Oryzias latipes: one gene and its partner. The protein of the gene in region 2 binds, or shares a complex with, the protein of the main gene of each other region. Links are inferred from orthologs where the notes say so. Each region holds a gene or a part of one and is shown on either strand. Other genes may lie near its edges. The genes, in order: med21 and med16.

The links.
Region 1: med16 (region 2) and med21 share a complex: the UniProt entries of both Homo sapiens proteins name them as parts of the mediator complex. The link is inferred for Oryzias latipes from reciprocal best matches to the Homo sapiens genes MED16 and MED21.

The regions. Positions count from the first base shown.
Region 1 is NC_019881.2:3,908,872-3,913,357, forward strand, and holds the start of med21 (mediator of RNA polymerase II transcription subunit 21), read right to left. Parts: upstream 2,880-4,486; 5' UTR 2,857-2,879; coding exon 2,815-2,856; intron 1,757-2,814; coding exon 1,642-1,756; intron 1-1,641. Other genes in the region: fgfr1op2 (FGFR1 oncogene partner 2), read left to right, coding at 4,177-4,311. UniProt on the Homo sapiens protein: Component of the Mediator complex, a coactivator involved in the regulated transcription of nearly all RNA polymerase II-dependent genes.
Region 2 is NC_019862.2:1,605,305-1,609,666, reverse strand, and holds the start of med16 (mediator of RNA polymerase II transcription subunit 16), read right to left. Parts: upstream 2,901-4,362; 5' UTR 2,743-2,900; intron 838-2,742; 5' UTR 800-837; coding exon 661-799; intron 591-660; coding exon 483-590; intron 402-482; coding exon 232-401; intron 160-231; coding exon 1-159. UniProt on the Homo sapiens protein: Component of the Mediator complex, a coactivator involved in the regulated transcription of nearly all RNA polymerase II-dependent genes.

The DNA of each region.
Region 1 (4,486 bases), on a different chromosome or scaffold from region 2:
CGTAGAGCGCCGGAGGGAGTGTGTGTGTGTGGGGGGGGGGATGGGGGGGGGGGGGGCAGCGGAAGTGTGTCGGGTGCGTGCATTCATGTTGTGTGTTACAGAGGAAGGAGAACGATAATAAAAGAAGGCTTCCCCCAGAATAAATGCTATAATTGACTCTTTATTAACCCGCTCTGGAGAATCTGAGGGTCCGAACGGGGAAGTTAATTCCGGAGGAGGATCTTCCTTCAGCCCTGGAGAAGATCCCCCCCCCCTGCTTCCGACCACAGTCGGAAAGAAAAAAAAGTCAGGTGGGAAAGGTTCAACACCACGCTCGGCCATTTTGCTGGAAATATTTTCAAAAACTGCCCGGTTGCGATAAGAGCCCTGGAGTTTGGCCTGAATGGAGCTGTCACCCCAAATATGAATCCAATCGGTGACCTCGCTTCCCTTCCACTGACTGGTCTCAGCAGCATCGTCCGCCATGGTTGATGTTTATCTTCTGGTTCCGCCTACTTCAACGCAGAATTATGACGTTTGAGAACGTATCAATGAGGTACGGGTCGGATTCATGTGGCCTGGCCGTTCAGACGGAGGTCGCATTTGAAAAGATCGGATACGTATTGGATTCAGGACCACATACCCAAGTGGCCTGGTTCACATTTGAAAAGATGGGATCTGTGTCGTTCAGACTGTCATGAAAAGATCAGATACAGGTCGCATGGGGGAAGAAAATCAGAATTGGGTCGTTTCAGCCTGCAGTATGAACGAAGCCAAAGTTACCTTTTCAGCTAATGCAAAACTGATAAAAACAGCCACTAACTACATGCTTTTTCTGCTAACATAAACATATGCCTATTTAGTTTCACTTAAATAAAAGAAGTATGACAAAAATAAATGAATCTTTATGAAATTTCACCGTTTATTCCTGTCCCTCAGTTTTGTTCAACCCGTAACAGCCTATCAATCCCCCTTTAAAAAAAAATAATAGTTCAGTCCAACTTCTTCAGCAGCCAGGAAGTGACATCACTGAATATTTTCCTGCTCATACTCTGAAGACAGGTAAGTATTAGCCTCCTTTCTTACCCATATTTCATAGTTTCTGTTGTCAGATTGACTTTGTCAAGCTCAACCTTTCAACTCTGTTAAATTAATAAATGATATTTACTATTGTTTGGGAAAAAGCTAACGATTGCTTTGAAATATGTATTAAATTCTTGTTTTCCTCATGCCATATGTAGCTTCATATCCTAGCTAATGTAGACACGTGACAACTTCAACCTCGTAATATTCTACTCCGTAACAAAACACACTGTCACAGTGACAAACTTTCTAACAATTTGGGGGATTTCATGTCTAAAGTGGGAAAACATCTTTTCTCAGAGGTTTAAATAGTCCTTAATCTGATGTAATGTTAAGAAACACACATTTTTTAGGTAAGATTTTCAATTACCAATGTGCACCGAATTCAGAGAATGACCCGTCTAGCCCCTGATATCAATCATGTCCCAATATCCAACGGCATCGAAGGCCCACCCCAACGTAAAATGAGGCTGTACTCCGAAAGTGAAAATTCAGAATTGAAACTGTAAACCGAGGACTGAAGGTGAAGAGCAGGCGGCGACCCAGTGGGTCTTTAGAGACAGTCGGCGTCAGACTAACCTTCAGTGGGGTTGGCCGGCTGGTCCTTGTTGATAGCGGTCTGGATGTTGCTGAAGGACGCAGGGGGAGCAAATTGTTGCAAAACACCGATGGCGTTACAAAACTGATCTGCAAGCTGCCCACGCAAAAGCAGAACACACAGTTCAGACCGAGCTGAAGCCGACCTGCACCACACATCCCGAATAGATTCATTTTATGTTTGAAACACAGACAGAAAGGTCAAAACAATCAAGCTTGGATTATAACAAAGCACAGCAGGAAATTCTACTCATTGGAAATGAATGGATATTATATTAAACATTTCATTTTAAAAACATTTTTGGTATAATTGTCTTCCATTATTCTTTATCTGGCTGTATGCAAATATTTCAAGCATTTTCAGCAAGATTTTGGTTTTATTTAAGACGGTTAAAATCTTTCATAGAGAAAAGAGAATTATGAAGTAGTACACTTCTTGTAAGTTAGAATATTTTTAGGTTTTTGCTCCTTCTTCATGTAATCATATGTATTATGCCCTTCAGGCATTTATTTCGAAATGTCATGAAGATTAAGTGTAGGGGTTGGAGTGCCTGAAGTTCAATATTGTCATATGTTATATACATATGTATATCTTTAGTCCATATGCTAGTAAGAAATGTCATCCGGCTGACCTAAACAATAACAGAACGGTTGGCCTGTACCACCACACATCATGATTCCTATAATATTCCAGCTAAATGAGCAAACAAGCTGCTTAGTGCTTTCAGGAGTTTCCTGATAGAGCTACACTAAAGGATGGCTAGCATGCTAAGAACAAATGGGACTCTAACTTTGTTTGACAGCATATTTTGACCGGCAGGATTAGGATAAGTCTCAAAACGAACAATTTATAGGGTAACTTCCTGGTTTGGGTACCTTTTTAAATAATTTCCACTTCCTTTCATGCGTCTTCAACTTTAATTCCAATCTACTTCAGCATTTTGGCAAACAGCTTCAGCAAACACCAAGTAAGTAATGCTATTTATTAAGTTAGCATTAGCATTGTTAGCTGCTGTGATGTTACGCCCTCAGTAAATAAATTAGGAAACAACTTCCATTAAAACCTATATATAATGCACATTTCATATTTAAATGTATATGTGACAGTCTTTCTATATCACAATTTTTGTCAAATATTTAACATTTTTATTTTACCGAGTTGACAGCATCTTGTAGTTGCGTTAGCCGGTCCGCCATATTTACCTGTATTTGACAAAAGTCCGTCGTCAACTATCGCGAGAGCATTGACAAAATCTCGCAGAAATTGACGTCATTTCGGAAGACAAGATAGCTAAAGAAAGTTAGCCCGTCAACAACCTTAAACCTGTTATTTTAGACTTGAATACCATAGAGACTTTTGCGAAATTCATTTTTTGTACTTTAGTATATTTTTTTATGTCTTAAAGAAACAAAGTTTAAGTTTAACGTATAATCCGATATTCGTGTTAGCATAAGCATGATGTTGCTATTCTGAGCTACAACATAAAATATCAGGAAGAAGATCTATTTTCTGGTTGCACTTTGAACTCTTCAGGTAAGACCACTTCAGTGTTAAATTAAGACACCTTTACATGCTTTGGTACACTGTTTATGAGGTACGTTTGTATGTTTTGTTGGAAAATTTGTCAGGATTTAGAGAGCAGCTTCGTTAGTTGTAACTACTTTACTACTACGTAAGCAAAGACATAATTAGCTGTTTGTTTCTGCTTGCTTAATTTTTTTGTCATAAGAAAGTATATTTCATGATCATAAATCTCCTGCAGTTCGACATCCTCTTTTTTCCCCTTTTAAACTGTGACACATTCGTTAACATCCTGCTTTAGTGGGTGAGCAGGAGGGTCATACCCGGTAAAGTTACATTGTTTGGTGGTGGCAGTGTGATGGTATGGGGCAGCATCTCCTGCTCGTTATTACTGGAGGAAATCTTGATGTAGAAGTTATACATCGAATTCTGCTAAAATAAATATTTAGTGTGTTTTTAAACCTGAATTACCCAAACACGACATTGGCAAAATTAGATGCTTAGCAGCGAATGTTCAACCAGTCATGATGGGTGCATTTCATAAACGGAGCTACGTATTCCCTTAAACTCTAAACAAAGATTTAAGATAAGTATTGTAACTAAAAAGTAATCTGCTTAAAACCAATTTCCCTGCTTTTTGTACTGTTTACATCACTTTCTATCATTTAACTTTCCATCTTAAATCTGTAAGACGCTGAGTATCTTAACGCTAATGTGTAAGTAAATGAAAAATGCAGGGATCTACTACTCTTTACTTCCAGATGTTCATTACTCACCACAGTAATTAGGTTTTTATCTCACTAAAACTGAACAAACAGAAAGCAAAAGAGTAAAACAGTTTTATGAAGGAAATTGCCCAATTTGTTATATTACTTACAGACTTGAACTCGATGTTTTTTTTCTTCTTAAGTTTTCACATTTCTTTAAAACCAGATTGATATTTTCTAAAAAATGTCCTGCTCATCGATTTTACTTTAATGTTTTCCCCTTTAGACATGAACTGTACGTTAGAGAAAGTCCTGGCAGATGCTAAGTCCTTGGTAGAAAGGCTCCGTAACCATGACAACGTAGCCGAGATGTTAATCGAACAGACAACATCTCTCAACAAGAGGGTAGAAGCCATGAAACAGGTAAGATTCTGCTTGGATTTTGATGTTTTATTTTATTTTATTTTAAATATTTTCCTCATGAGCCGACTGACGTCCTGCCCAGGATGAACCGTGCCTCCGTCCAACAGCTGCAGGGATAGGCTCCAGCAACCCTGAGACCCCAAAAGGGATACAAGAAAATGGATGAATAGATTGA
Region 2 (4,362 bases):
GGCCGTCAGCAAGGAGCCGCCTGGCTTTAGCAATGACACGGAGACCAAACCGCTAACTGTTACTGCTAACCAGCCTTCCATTGGTTTTCCTCCAAACAGGGTGAGAGAAGGAGAGAACTTCACCCGGGAGAACTTTTCTCCAAAGTTTGTGGAACCAGACTGAAAGCAGAAGATGTCGTGTCAATTTTTTACTGGTTCTGGGGCTTTTCTACTATGTAGAAGGTGCCTTACCATCTCCACATGCAGAGCCAGTTTGACTCCATTATGCAACCAGCTAAGGGCAATTATGGGATCTCTATCCAAAGAGCTAGACAGGATGCTCTCCCAGCTGTTTACCAAGTGATCAGTCATGGACCAGCACTTAATCTGACCATCGCCATCGGCAGAGAGCAACCGTGATCCTACACACACAAGAACACAAGCACTTGACAAAACAATAACAGTTTAATACTCTGAAAAAAGTCAACTAAAGTAAAGCCTACCTGACTGGTCCCATTCCAGGCAGGAAATGACCTCAGTGTGACCAGAGTTGATAGAAAAGACATCCCAGGGGTGCTCAGTGTCGATGATGTGGATCATGTGACTGACATCTGAAAAAGAGGTTCAGGTAGCCGGGACCAAGAGTTGGACGTGTGTGCGTGTGCGTGTGTGTCTGTGTACCCTTCTCATTGTCGTCACTTTTCAGGTCTGTGGTAAACGCCACCAGGTTCCTGCAGGACCACGAGCACACTACTGGTATGGATGGACAGTGAGCGTTCTTCTGTCGCTTCTCCCAGTCACAGACATATGCCAGTTCCATGTCCAAAGGGGAACAAAGACGCCTCGTCCACACCTGACCTGAATGGGAGACAGAGGAACACATCTGTCACTAAGTGAACACATCTGTATTTCAAAGCAGGTTAGAGGTTAGATCATTGTTAAGGAACAGAATAATTAACCATGTCAAGCATTATATTTAGTAAGTTTCCATTTAATCCTATTTTGATCTATTGTGAAAACATACCCAGTCAGGGTAGGATTCTTAAAACATCCAAAACACTATTTCCATCACAGTGGGTTTTTTTTTTTTAACCAAGTGAAACCCACTGAGATCAGATCTCATCTTCAAGGGTGACCTGGCCAAGAGGTCAGCAGCATACGCCACATGAATAAAGTCACAATATTAAACAAATATGACACAGAATGATGACTAGAGAATTTTACAATGTAAACTTAAAAGTTGAAAGTGAGGATCAACAAAGTGACTTGGTAATGTTAGATGGGAATTTGTGTCATTTGGAGAGTACAAAAGTAGTGAGTAGCATGACATTAATAGCCATCAGTTATCAGTTCACGTTAGAAACACAGACATTGAAGGACGGACCGTTTATATTTGACTCAATATAATGAAGCTGAAAAATCTAAGTGAAGAAAGTTCAGACCATTTATGAGGTTTTACTAAAATATTTTTAAAACGTTTGCAGATTAAATTTGTGAATCTCCAATCTCCATTCCTTCACTACAGGAACTAAATTCAAAACTAGTTTTGAATTTACATTGAGTTTAATGGTCAATGGAGCCAAAACCTCAACTATGAGAAACAAAATCTGAAAAAAATACAGAAAAGCACATTGTCCAATTTTTAAAGAATTCATTCGTAAATTATGGAGGAAAATAAGTATTTGGTCAATAAAAAAGTTCAAGTCAATACGTTGCTATTTACCCTTTGTTGACAATGACAGCAGTCAGACGTTTTCTGTAAGTCTTCACAAGGTTTTCAAAAACTGTTGCTGGTATTTTGGCCCATTCCTCCATGCAGATCTCCTCTAGAGCAGTGATGTTTTGGGGCTGTCACTGGGCCACACAAACTTTCAACCCCCTCCAAAGATTTTCTATGGGGTTGAGATCTGGAGACTGTCTAGGCCACACTAGGACTTTGAAATGTTTCCTATGAAGCCACTCCTTTGTTACCCGGGCAACGTGTGTTTAGGATCGTTGTCGTGCTGAAAGATCCAACCATGTCTCATCTTTAATGCTGATGGAAGGAGGCTTCCCTCCAAATCTGACCATACACTGCTCCATTCCTTCTTTCCTTTACGCAGATCAATCGTTCTGTCATTGCCATTCATTCATTCATTCATCTTCTAATCTGTTTTATCCCTCTCGGGGTCGCGGGGCTGCTGGAGCCTATCCCAGCCACTCGCGGACGAAGGCTGGGGGCATCCTGGACAGGTCACCAGTCTGTCACAGCTGTTATTTCCAGCAAATGAACTTTTGTCATTGATCATTAAGTTATTTTCTATCATAATTTACAAATAAATTCTTTAGAAGTCAGACAATGTGATTTTCTGTTTTTTTTAACTCATTTTGTCTCATATTAGTTAAGGTTTACCTATGATTAAAATTACAGGCCTCTCTCATTTTTTGAATTGTGAGAACCTAAACAATTGGTGGCTGACTAAATACTTTGTTTGCCCCACTGTAAGTAAACCTTGTATGTATTCGGTCATTTATTTAAATTCTACCATAAACTTGAATTTGCTCACATGACAGCACCACGAAACACATCAGTCTTCTGGATGTTTACCCCAAGTTTTTATGAACAACGATGCAAGTTTGAATTTCCAAAAGAAAAGTGTTGCTCGTCAACAGTTCGGTTTTCTTGACTTTCTTTACAAACAAACCCAGCAGCAAAACTCCAGAAAAAACGTGATGCAAATGAAAAGAAAAACCCGCTGACTTAGTCTATTATGATGAACTCACCTATTTGAAACTGGCTTTCAAAAGTTAACAGCCAAAACTGAAAGAAGTTTTAAGAACGACTTCAGAAAGAAAACATAAATACGAGTTGGAAAGAACGGCACTTTGAAAGAAACAAAGACCGCAGCAGAGACTGGCGCGTGTCAGGCCCCCGTATATGTGTGCCTATACAGCTGCCTGTCTGAAAAATATGTTTAGAGTACGAAATAAGAAAATTAGGCCCAGACAATTTATTACAAAGCTTTCAACTTAAGTAAAAACATTGAAGTAATTAAAAATCCACACTGTGTCTTCTACAACGTTTCTAATAAATACTTTTATGATCCTATTTTAGTCTGGCTAAACCCGAGGTAAACCTTTTTTTCCCTCTGTAACTTTATTAACAAGGAGCAAAATACAAAGTTAAGTTGAATACATTTTCAATTCTCACTCTCAAAAGAAAAAGCAATACTTCAAAATGCTTTTTCATTTTATACTTCAACCCAGCTTTTTCTGTCACTTAATTAAAATGATAAAGAAAATGGTATTTGACATTTCATTTTCAAAAAGGTCCCTGGTAAATGTGTAGCATAATTCATTTAGAAATGTCTAATTTGACAATTAAAATGGATTAACAGAAATGCTTTTTAATTTTCAAAATGTAGCTGCATTTTTTGACTCAAAATTAAAAAGAAAAAGCAATATTTCAAAATGCTTTTTCATTTTATACTTAAAACCGCTTATTCTGTGTCATAATTAAAACGAAAATGCAAAGAGGGGATTGCATTTGCATTTTAACATCCACCCTGCGCACCTTGTCACAATATTCATTTCGAAAAAGCATTAGCAGAGGGGAGGCGGGGCGATGACGTCACTGCTTTCTCTGTGTGTCCGGCTGCTGACTGACGCACACACACGCACCAGGAGCAGACTGTGTTAGTGGCAGAGAAGAGGGTTTTGTGATGGTTGTGAACTTCTGATGAGTTTCCACAGCTTCTCAGGACTAAGTAGCTGCATGTCCGCCTTCTGCGGTCCTCCTCCTGACGCACCGCGATCGCTGAAGGCGGAAATGCTGCGGCGATCTGAGAAACCATCATATGAATTTGTGTTTCCAGTGGTGTCCAGAACAAAATAAAGACTGATTCCCACATATTTACACATTTATTTGCAGCTTTGCGGTGAATTTGCTGTATTTTTTGAATTTGATGTATTTTCTCTCATATATTCCTGTTTTGATGATTTTAATACTCATTTTGTTAGTTATAAGTTCTCTGTTTTTAATAAAGGAATGTAGGGTGTGAGAAATCTGTCAAAAAGAAACATAGTCATAAAAACAAAGTTGCAAAAAAAAGACATGAAGACAACATTTTAATTTTACGTTTGAATGCGATTTGTCTTTGTTATAAATACGACTCTTGTTTGTCTTGAATACCAAATTTACCTTGATAACAAACTGTCAAAAATACGTCACATGGTCACAGGCATACGAGTCCCAAAACGTTGATTCAACTGGGTGAGCATGTACATTCATGTACATTGGAGACTCTTCTTAAACTAATAGAATTACATTTTTTAGACTGCTATGATGAATGAATGAAAGAATGTTATAGGTCTGGCTGGAAATCTGTCTTAAAACCAAAAAAA